3 linked regions of the Drosophila melanogaster genome follow. The protein of the gene in region 3 interacts with the protein of the main gene of each other region in a pairwise test. Each region holds a gene or a part of one and is shown on either strand. Other genes may lie near its edges. The genes, in order: CG12985, Dyro and CG13293.

The links.
Region 1: the proteins of CG13293 (region 3) and CG12985 interact in a two-hybrid assay, tested with the Drosophila melanogaster proteins (one large-scale study listed by BioGRID).
Region 2: the proteins of CG13293 (region 3) and Dyro interact in a two-hybrid assay, tested with the Drosophila melanogaster proteins (one large-scale study listed by BioGRID).

Annotation. Positions count from the first base shown.
Region 1 is NC_004354.4:17,881,658-17,885,416, reverse strand, and holds CG12985 (uncharacterized protein), read right to left. Parts: upstream 1,700-3,759; 5' UTR 1,610-1,699; coding exon 942-1,609; intron 778-941; coding exon 333-777; 3' UTR 179-332; downstream 1-178.
Region 2 is NT_037436.4:11,294,179-11,297,937, reverse strand, and holds the start of Dyro (Dpt-YFP repressor by overexpression), read left to right. Parts: upstream 1-2,018; 5' UTR 2,019-3,349; coding exon 3,350-3,759.
Region 3 is NT_037436.4:6,080,724-6,084,482, reverse strand, and holds the start of CG13293 (uncharacterized protein), read right to left. Parts: upstream 1,601-3,759; 5' UTR 1,130-1,600; intron 1-1,129. Other genes in the region: ssp6 (short spindle 6), read right to left, coding at 3,210-3,759.

The sequences.
Region 1 (3,759 bases), on a different chromosome or scaffold from region 3:
AATTTGTTGGTAAACAATTGTGTATTGAAGCAGCTACGGTGGTCACTCGATACGGGGAAGATCTTTAATATGTACATAACTGACAATACATTAATGATTTGTAATGATATGTGCAAGCTATTTAGTACGATCTTAAAAGTAGGAAATAAATTAACAAGAAAACAAGGATTATACAACTCGCATTTAGGTAATACTTCATATTTACGCTCAAAAAGTGAAACTGAAATTGTTGAAAAATCTCGAAACTCTTATCCAAATAGAGTTAAAATAATTTGCAGCGTTTAGAAAAACAGAATTGTGGACGTAGCATCCGTTAGTAGGGAGCGCATTTGTTAGTACGAGTGATCCCCGTACAGTGAATTCCCTTGATAGCGATCCAGTCCGTTCAGGATTTTCTCCCGCCGCATTCGCTGTTGCTGCCGTCGGCGCTGCCTGTAGAGATCCAGGAGAGCATTGCAGGTGTTCCTGTCGAGTGCGTAACCGCGCGCTCCATTGGCCCTTATGGCGACAGTGGGTAGGCGGTGAACCGACGACTTGTACAGCAAACTGCCGGTGCCGACCTTTTGCTTGGCCTCCACGGCGGCGGATGCGGCGCGACAGGCCGCCTCCTTCACCTGCTCGTACTCCGACTTAGCTTGCGCCACCTGGCGGGCCAGGCGGTCACCACGTGCCTTCGCCGCCGCCAGCATTTGGTTCTTCTCCTCGATATCCATGTTCGACTGGTCGATTAGGCTGTCCATTTCCGACAAAATGCCACTCGTCTGCTGTACGAGGGCCCTGAAAACATTAGTAATCGAAAAAGCATTGATATTAAAAATCGATATGTTATCGCTGGTAGATATTATGATAGATATAACGATATAATTGTTCCGCTTTTAAATTGTGTAGATAGTTGGATGGATTGTGAACAATATTGAATATTGAATATTTATCAATTATACCTGAATGTTTCGGCTTGAACCTCCGCTGCTTTGACCACGGCACAGGAGGCCTCCACGTTCGTCTCACTGTTCTGCAGCGAGCAGCTCACCTGTCCGACCACCTCCTCGGCATCCCGGATCTCCCTAGCGTAGTTGTCCACCATTGCCTGTTTGCCCTCGAGCACCGCATCGGCGGCACGGGCAGCGGAGATGGCCTTTTCCGCCAGCTGCATCTTCGCCTGCCGCGATGCATCTTGAGCGGCGGCCGCCTGTGCATCATTGGCTGCCTTGGCCACCTGGGCGGCATTCTGGGCAATGTGGGTGGCCTTCAGCCGCGAATTGATAATCTCGTCACAGGAGTCACAGTTGTCCCTATCTCTAATATTATTCCTGTCTTTGTCCCGATCCCTGTTTCTATCGCAACCCCTATTTCGATCCCAATCTCGGCCTCGATCCCGATCAATATTGCGATCTTTTTCTCGGTCCCTAGCGCTTTCGTCCATGCTTTCACATCCAGATTGGTAGGACGGTCTTGTGGTGCATCCCAGATAAGGGAATGGCACCACTGTGGCCCCCGAACTACCATTCCCATCGCCGTTGAAGCCCTGGGGAGATATGTCATCGTTGGTGTTGTCCAAATAGCTAGCCAGGGAGGCGTCGTGTTCGTTGTGGGGCTGGTCGAAGCTCATCGCACGGACACTCACAATGCGGAGGATGATAAGGAGCAGGGTATATGGTGGAAATATATACATTTTGAATCCGGAATTTGAGGAAAGCGACTCAGGCTGCTGCTTTCAAAACTACTAGATATTCCATAGAATATATACATATTTCAGGGTATTTTGCGATTCTTTACAGTTGGCTGGCTTTCTAGTACTTTCGCATAGTATCAGTTTAATTGATGATGGGAACCCCTTAACTTACCGTCTAAAAGAGCTAGAACGTATTTGTGAAACGGAAAAGCAATTGTTTGCCCTTTAACGATTTTTTAATTGAGCTGAGTGGTTGCCCATACTTTTCCACCAGCGCTTTTCCAGCTTTCCCATTTCCCATTGTCCTGCAGGATAAATGGCTGCCATAGCGATGGGTAATCAGCACCTCAGTTGGCAGCTTTCGCACCTTGCTCACCTTTCGCACCTTCTTTCTCCCTTTGCCCAATGCAGTGTAAATGCGTATCAAGAATACTTCATTAGTGCCCAATTGCGGCGCAATTGCGACGCTGACGCAGCCAACTGGCTGGCTAACTAAGTATCTAACTAGCTAGCGGCTAGCTGACTAACTAGCTAGCTGGTTAGCTGACTAGCAAGCACGTGTGGCGAGCGGAGAAAGGGTAGAAAGCGGCATAGGTGTGGGTGGGCTGGGAAAAGTCGCACTTTATCACAACAAACCAGATGCTAAGCACGTGCTGCCATTTGTTTTGGTTATTATTATTGTGATTCCAGTCTCTAATCAGTGCGGCCAAATAAATAAGTGTGCGGAAAACAGAAACCATGAATGCAGTTAACTGGCGGTGGGGAAAACGCCACCTGGCGGAAGTAATATCAACAATTGCAACGATCTGTAGATACAGATTCATAGATACATAGATAGCGCTATAATAGATATTTGCGTATTTTTCATTTACACTGAATATACTAACATTTATTCCGTGAGAGAATTCAAATTCTTCGTTGAAATTACGCATAAAAGTCAGGGAAAACATGCTATCCGCATAATTGATTTAAGATTCAAGATGAGTTATTTGAAAGATGAAATTCCATAGATGCAGAGGAAAAAAACGTTTTTCGGGCAACACATTATTAAGTGAAATTCATGCCGGCCATTCAGTTCCTTTGTTATATATATATATATATATATATATGTACATACATGGTATATAGTATCGTTATTGTAGTCTTCTTGTTCTTGTTCTTCCTGCATTCATTATCATTGTTGTTGTTGCTGCCGACTGGTCACCAGTTTACTGCAGTCTGCTTGCGAAACTGAAATTTTCAATGCCACTGTCAAAGCTGCGACGTCATCCGTCATCAATGAATGCGCAGTTTTCAATTACCATACAAAATACAAAACAGTCAGTACAGTGGCGGAAATAGGGAATGATACGGCCATGTTCTCTATAAGAAAGTTGCAAAATGGCAGAACGTTCAATTCAATTGACAGCAAGTGTGCAAGGGAAATCATACACTTGTTTTCCAATGTGATCTTATGAGTATCGCAAACTATGAAAATATGGTATCGTTCGCTCGAATAGATTTAGAGACTTTATAATACAAACCAAATGCTCATTTTATGTTCTTTTTGATTTATAGAGAAGTAAATTTAATCATTGCCAACATCATTTATGTTTTATTACCACATTTTATCATAATATTGTGCATTTGATAAGTTTTTATTTAACGCGATCTTGAGAGATCACAAAAACAACTTCATGAAAGGTTCTTTTTTAATTGCCGCTTGTTGTCTTTTGTATTTTCGCTTGCCACTTGTTAGTGTTTATATTTTTTATTTGCACATTTTTGCGCTATTGCGTATTGAGCAAAAATCAACTTTATTAACTGACCTTGTGTGTGGCCATGTGCCCCAGTGTGTGTGTGTGTGTGTGTGCGTGTTTGTGTGTTTGTGGGAGCGAGATGGCAGCAAAGCTCTGCGACTGCGCCGCTCACTTCACTTCGGTTCATTTCAGTTCATTTCGCTTCAGTTTCGGCAAAGGCAAAATCGGTCATTGAACTTTGAACCACCTCAAGCTAAACAAAAAAAAAAAGAAAAGTACAGAAAAATAAATAAGACAGCAACGAAAGAAAAATAAAACAGCAGCAAAAATAAATATAATAAACATAGC
Region 2 (3,759 bases), 5.2 Mb from region 3:
CGTTAATGAGTAAGCGATCGCTTATACATCGAACAATTTGATAATTTTAATTATTTAATTCAAAAAATACTTCATCTGGCCCAAGATGATGCCTACCAATATTCAAGTATATAGTATCTAAATTTTAAATTCAATCATTTAAAAGTAATTATTTTAGTACATACACATTTCTGTATAGAAAGATTAGGGATTAACGGAACAAATACAATAAAAGTTTTTTATATTTTCGTTATATGTTGTAAATCCTTAAATTTAAATCTTTCACATTTAAGCGTCAGCGAAGTGGCTGTGTTTATTAACTTCTTGTGCTGCAGGGTATGCATAAGTCCGTAAAACCGGTTTTTTGTCGAGGTAGGTGCATGGTAATGTCAGCTTAATACCGTTATCGTAGGTGCGGCAAACACGTCGCTGCAGCTGCGACTGCGCCGTCAACTGCGGCAGCGTCCCTGCTTGCTAATGAGCCGTTAGGATGGACAGCAGAAGGAGAAAAAGCCGCAAAAGCTTCCGCAATTCAAAACAGCTGAGCTAGAACGAGAAGGAGCGATTGTGCAAGACGAAATGCAAAACTGATAAGAAAAGTCCGTTTAACGTGCTCCAAATATGTGTGTGTATGCCTGCGTATGAGACACGGAAATTCGGTGAAATTATACAAAATATTCGCACGTGGTTTAGGACACGCCATTCAGAGGAGAAAGAGAAGACATATGTACTATGTATGCATGTGTGTGTAAGAGCTGGAAAAGAAGAGAGGGAGTGCAGGCGAATGCAAAATCAAAGTGCTGCCTACGTGAGCGACACCTTGCGATTAAGTGACAAAAAAAGTTCTCAAATAAAGATCGAAACAACTAATACCCTATCGGCAAACAATTTGATACAAACTTATTAAATTCATTATTCATTAAATACACATTTTGGACACATGCAAAAAAATATCGGCTTTAAATAATGCTTGAAAAACTTAAACTTTAAACTATGCTAGAAAAATATCTGTAAATTCAATTCTTGCTCTAAAGTTTCTTATGGGAAATTACTTAAACCTCCTTTTTAGTTAAATAGGCAATACTCTTTGTAAAGGGTATAATGAAGCAGAATAGCTGAAAGACAAGCCCGAAAACGTCCAAACTCTCCGTGAAATGCAATTCCTTTTTCGATTCTTTTTCTGTTATTTTGCTGACTCGCTAAATTTGTTACCGTGTTTTCGAGCTTTCTGCTGTTGTTGTTATTATTTTTGCTGTGTCCAGCAGCAGCAATAATAAGAACAACAACAGCAAAAACGACAGTGGCAACGATAACAACTTCTCAGCCGTGCTGATGAGAGAAGTGCGAGAAAGAGAGGGAGAGTGAGAGGACCAGGCAGCAACAATATTTACAGCTTTAGCGGCCAAAAGCACAGTGGGGCAAAAGATGTTTTAGGGAAAAAATTATTCATAATTGATGTCCCAAAAAAGGCATGTAAAAATCTCTCGAAGAAAAATATATTTTAGCAATTATTTTACGACGTGTTGATTTTTTTAAATATTCAATCTAATATTTTTTTTAACTTTTTCCGAATTCTTTTAACAACTGAACCATAATATGAATATCGAAATAAATTTAATCACGAACACAAAATTTCTATAAAGCAACTTTAACTTCAGTTATCTATCTGAATATTTTAATATGTTTATTCTATTTTTAATGAAAGCCACCTTGTTCTACGTGATTTTTGCCAACGATCCCCTACTTGCAACACGAAAGCTGCAGCCGCCACACTGTGCCATGTGTCGCTGTTTAAAAATAGGCTTTTGCCTAGATGCTTGTGTGTGTGCTCGTTGGTTTCCAGCATCTCATGGTCGCCGCCGTTTGGCAACCGCTGCCACATGCGCAGAACGATCGGATCGGGCCCACTGTGCAACGTGGGGCTGTTGACGACAGCAGCAGCAGGCAGTCGTAGCAGCAGCAACAGCAACGATCGCAAGTCGCGACACGAGCAAAGCGAACGGAAAGGTGTGTGGACCAGGGGGCGGGGGAGCGAAGAGCAAGTGACGAACTTACGGCCAACAGCAGCAGCAACACCAACAACAACGGCAACCGGCCCGTTTGGAGCAGCGCGCATGCCACACACAGTTTAAATATGTGAAATTAGTACAAATCGTGATTTCAACAGCGAACGACGAGCGACGAACGAGCGTCGACGAAGTGGCGACAACCAAAAAAGAAAAGCACGAGAGAGCAGCAGCAGCAGCAGCAACAGCAGTAATAGCAAAAGCCACAGGCAACAACAGTGGCAGCCACAGCAACAACAATCGCTAGAAAAGCAGCAGCAACACAACTCACCTCAGCAACAAAAGCAATAAAGAAAACTGATAACACCAGCTGGAATATCAGATGATTCACCAACAACAACAACATCGAGGAGCAAAAGCAACAACAGCTGATGCCACAACTTCAGCACAAAGAGCAGCACACCAGCGGTAATGAAACTCAAAACAATAGAAACATTGAAAATAATATTTACAACAATACCACTATCAACCACTTGAGCTAGCACAACACCAACAAAAGCCAAGAATAATTACACCAACGCCAAACGGTACACCAACGAGAACTTTCAACAAGAGCAACTTTAGTAGAAGTAACCGCAACAATAATAATAATTACACCAACATTTATACCAATAGACAACAATCTACAAACAACTGTAACTTTTGTTGGTGTGCTCTCTATAGGGGCAACAACTACCCCAGCCGCAGCAACACCACGTCGCACATCGGTGGCGACCACAACAACAACAACATGCAATAAAACAGCTGATAGCGACAGCAGCAGCAGCAACAACAAAGCCTGCCATTATCAAGCGAGCAACAACAGGTCGCGAAAAAAAAAACAAAAAGCCCGCCTGCTGCAGCACACACACACATACACAGCCATACAGAAGAGCGGGTGTGCGAGAGAGAGAGGCAAAGACAAAGTCGCACACCTTTACCTTTGCGTTGATTTTGGACGTCGCAACTGAACAACTGACGCTTCGCGCTCGCTCGCTCTCCGTGGGACTCGCTCTCTCTCGCACAAAGTGCAGCTGAGCTGCCGCCGCCGCACTTGCCGCTGCCACAAATACAACACGGCCAGCTGAACGAACGCTCTACGCTCGCCGCCGCCGCTGCTGCCGCCAGTCGAAAGTCAAAAGCAACGTGTTGTGGACGCTTTTTTCGTCGCGTCGTTGCGTTGCGTTCTCTCTCTCTCTCACTCCTTTTCCTATCACCAACACAACCATACAACCGACACACCAGTACACCACCCACCAACCACCCACCACCCCGAACCCCCGCGCAGGCTGGGAAAACTTTCACCATTACCAACAACAACAACAATGTCCAGCAGCGCAGCCACAGCGCAGTTCAAGCTCGATGCCAACTCCAATGCCATTGCTTTGATAGCCGATGTTGCCACGCTGCCACTCCCCCTTTCGCCCACTGCAACAACAACAACGGCGGCGTCGGGAGCAACAGCAACCGCACCAGCTGATCGCGTCGAATGGTCGCGCTCGACGATCTTGAACTTCATCGAGGACTATCGCCGGCAGCGAGTCCTTTGGGATCCCAATACCAAAGGTTACCACATTAAACAGACCAAATACGAGGCACTCAAGCTCCTGAGTCAGAAATATGGCACGGAAATTCGTTCGATTAGATCGAAGATCAAATCCCTGCGCAGCTCGTTTCATCGGGAGCACGGTAAGGTCCTGAGTGGACGAAATCGCGGCGTTATCTATCAGCCCAT
Region 3 (3,759 bases):
TTTCTTTCGGAAAGTGTGTGTGTGTGTGTGGGTGTAAATAGGGAGGCGCCGGTGGGTGGGGTGTGTAATCCTTCAAAGGCATTGTAGGCTACACATTTAATGGCATTTTGACGCTGCCGCCGCTGATAATGATGTTGTCGTACATGCAACGTCCGCATCCGCAGCAAACTTCAAGTTGTCTGTTCCCTCTGTTCTCCCGTCCTGCTCTCCTTCTGTCCTGCTGCTCTCCAAAAAGGACCTCTCCCCCCCCCCCCAACCACATCCTTCGTGCAGCCGTTCAGTCATTAGGACTTATGAATTTCGGTTTAACAATTGAGCGGCTCAAAGTGCGATGGCGGAGGAGGTGTCTGCAAAACTTTGGCATAGTTCAGCCTTCATAATTAATGGCAGCCTAGCTGGAATAAAAAAATAATAATTCCAGAACGAGACGTACATATAAAAACCAACTACTTGAGTGGGCCAACTTTGCCCTAATGATACAGGCAGGCAGACAAACAGACAGACAGACAGTCGGTCCGAAAGTTACAATTCTCATATCTCGCTGCAGACATCACAAGCTGCAGAAAAACTTTGTCAGGACCAAAAACCGGATGCGAGTGACCAGCGGAGAAGTTTTGCCTTGGCCCCCAGGACACTTTTTGTGAACTGTTCGACTGTCACCCGGGGGCAATTTACATTTCACATTTAATTGGCAATTTCTATTTATCGAAATTGATCTCGCACCGAAGTGGGCAAAGGATGTTTGTATTTTAGCTGCCAACTGTGTGTAGTCGGAAAATTAAATATATCACTGTGAAATACTTTCGATAGGCCATTTAAAAAGTTTTTAATTTGAAAACGTAAAATGTTGAACGTTTCAAAACAGCAGTACAAGTATTTACTTGAAGATAATTTTCCCTAAAAATAAATACTCTTAAGTTGCTAGCGGGTAAATCGAATTCGCAAGCAAGAAGTTGCTCCCTTAGAGATATAAAATACATCTCTGTTAGTTGCCACCTCCCCCCCATTCAGATTTACATAGTAAATGAGCTTTAATATAATGTAATATAACCCAAGATGAAACAATCACAGTTTCTTTTTGTTGTGCATTATTTTTCATTTCTCAGGGGGAACCCCTTTGCACACTCACCTTTTCATTGTTGTATCTGCTGCTGCCACCAACAACAACAGAAACAGGAGCGGATGCGGAAGTCGCAGTCGCAACCTCTGCTAGCAGTCGCGTCGCCCTGCACTTGACATATGTTTTGCCGGATCTGCTCAAGATCGTATTCTATAGCTTAGCGCTCGAACACTTTGCCACTTTTCACTCACTGCACACACGCGGGGGTCGCTTTTTATTTTTTTGCCGGTTTGCAAGTTGCCCTTGTTGGGAATTTCACTGAGGACTTTGGGGGCGATTCAAGAACCGTTGTCAATCTTTCACTGATATTTGGATAGTATCCCGGAACTGGAGCATTACGTGCTGGGGGGATAAAGCGGGGAGAGCGATTGTGAGTGGAGAACGCTGCGACCGTCGCGTTTGGCTGCACAGTATTGAATTTTTTCGCATTTACATTTTTAACGAGGAGGGTTGGGGGTTGGTATTGATTTTTTTGCCACTTTGACAGCTGCCTGGTGCCAGCGATGGCCAACAGAGGGCGTCGCTGACAGTTGCCAATTTCGCGGGGGATGAACAGCTGACCGGCGAAAAGACGTTACATGTGGAGACTTCCAATGGTAACACTCTACAGGGGTTGTAAAATGACCAATAGGTACGGTAGGTGGCGCCACTTTCGAGCCAATCAGCTGATGAAATTCCCTGGGGTGTTCCACAAGTTTTTATTAACCCATAAAGCCGATTTTTATTAAATAAATTCAATTCTATGTACACCTTATTTTTAGAAAATTTTCGCAGGAATAAAGAATAATTCCTCCTCCTACCAATAATATATCTTGTTCTGTTTCTATTTTTATCTAGGGGTCACACTACATGAACACATTTCTTGAGTTTTATTGCAATACATAAGTTCAATAACATTTACATTTCGCATTACATAAAAGCGTTTTAAATTATATTTGGTTGGTTGCTTGATAAAAATGCGACTAAAATTGTTGCGGTTTTTAGTGCTCTTTCACTATCACAATGAAATAAATTACATTGTTCGGATACAGTATGCAATAAATATATATGCTTAAGTGTGTATATGCTACATGTAAAACAGTATCTAGTCGCATGATAGGTTAACCATATTATATGGCAAATACAGATACATATATAATCCTCTATCTATCATTACAAGACGCCAGATTTTTCTCTCATTTGGAATATGCGCGTGGCTTTTCAGTCTTTCAATAAATCCAAAAATCTAAACGTCAAAGCGTCCTAGTTATATCGCCTATATATTAAGTGAGTTTCACAAACAGAAGATAGCTATAAGTTTAGTTTTTATAGGTCTTAAGGTGTTCTAATTTCTGAATCATCTACTCTTAGAAGTATCTTCTTTTGGGCTTATCTCTGTGTATTGTCCTGCGGTTTTTGGATGCTAAATATTTATCTTACATTTATAAAACTCACTTAACATATTATTGAATAGTTAAGCTACATGTTGATTTTTGTCTGAGTTATATGTTTAAAATTTGGCTCTAGTTACCATTTCAAATGAGTTCGATGTTCGGTTTTCGAAGACGCGAATGGATCAGAATATGAGTGCACTCATGAGCGGTTCAACTAAGTGAATCATGCACAGGTTAGGCGTGTGAGTTGATTTGAATGAGGTAAGTTTGGAATGAGTACTAAATTCTTATCTTTTTTAAGAAGGTTTTTTTCACCATTGACTACATTTGGATACCAAACAAATAATTTTCTACATTTTTTAGTCAAGCTACAAAATATTAAATTATCTATTCCTTAAATACCTAATATAATTTTGTTCAAAAATTACACAACATTGAATATACAGATATCAGTTTAGAAAGAAAATTCTATTTTTATTTTTAAATAATAATTTAATTACCAGACTAATCAAAATGATTGATTCGACTTTTATTCTATTCAATATTTTTTTTCATACTCATTCAATTCTTTCTCATTTAAAATAACATTTAGTTTTAAACCTCTATTAACTGAACACGCCTATCAAACTTCAAAACTATTTGATCATCACCCTCTACCCATGGTGCACTCATATTATTCTTGAGACGGATCTCGTTACGGTCTAGACAACTTTGACCTACAATCTGGTGGCCTCCGAAGTCGTCTGGACATCTCCTGCACCATGCACCTGCTGACTAGTGGTGGAGGTGCCCACATCAGTGGTAGGTCGCGGCAGATGCGAGTAGTATCCCAACTGGCAGGAGTTCTGGTGGGACAGCTTCTGATTTTGACTGAGTTGGTACTGGGCCGCCTTAATGGCAGCCTGTTGCTGAGGCGTCAAGCAATCGCAGGCGGCCAACAGCTCCTCCGTGGACTTGGCCGTAATTGTGGTGGTTGTGGTGGTGGTCAGCTCGCCCACAAACTCGGTGGGCGGTGGGGCATAGTTCTCCACATCGCCGTAAGTGGAGTATCTGCCGTACGGGTTCCTTCGCGGCATCGAGTGACGCTGCTGGGCAATTTGCATTTTTATGGCTGGCTTAACGGCCACAGTGTCAAGGTAACCGTAACCCACATTAAAGCCCGCCTTGTTGGCTAGATTGTCCCAGGATTTTGGTTTCTGGACATAGGCTATAGTGTTGGGATAGATCTGCTGCGGTTGCATTTGTGTGGTGGTCACATGATATCGT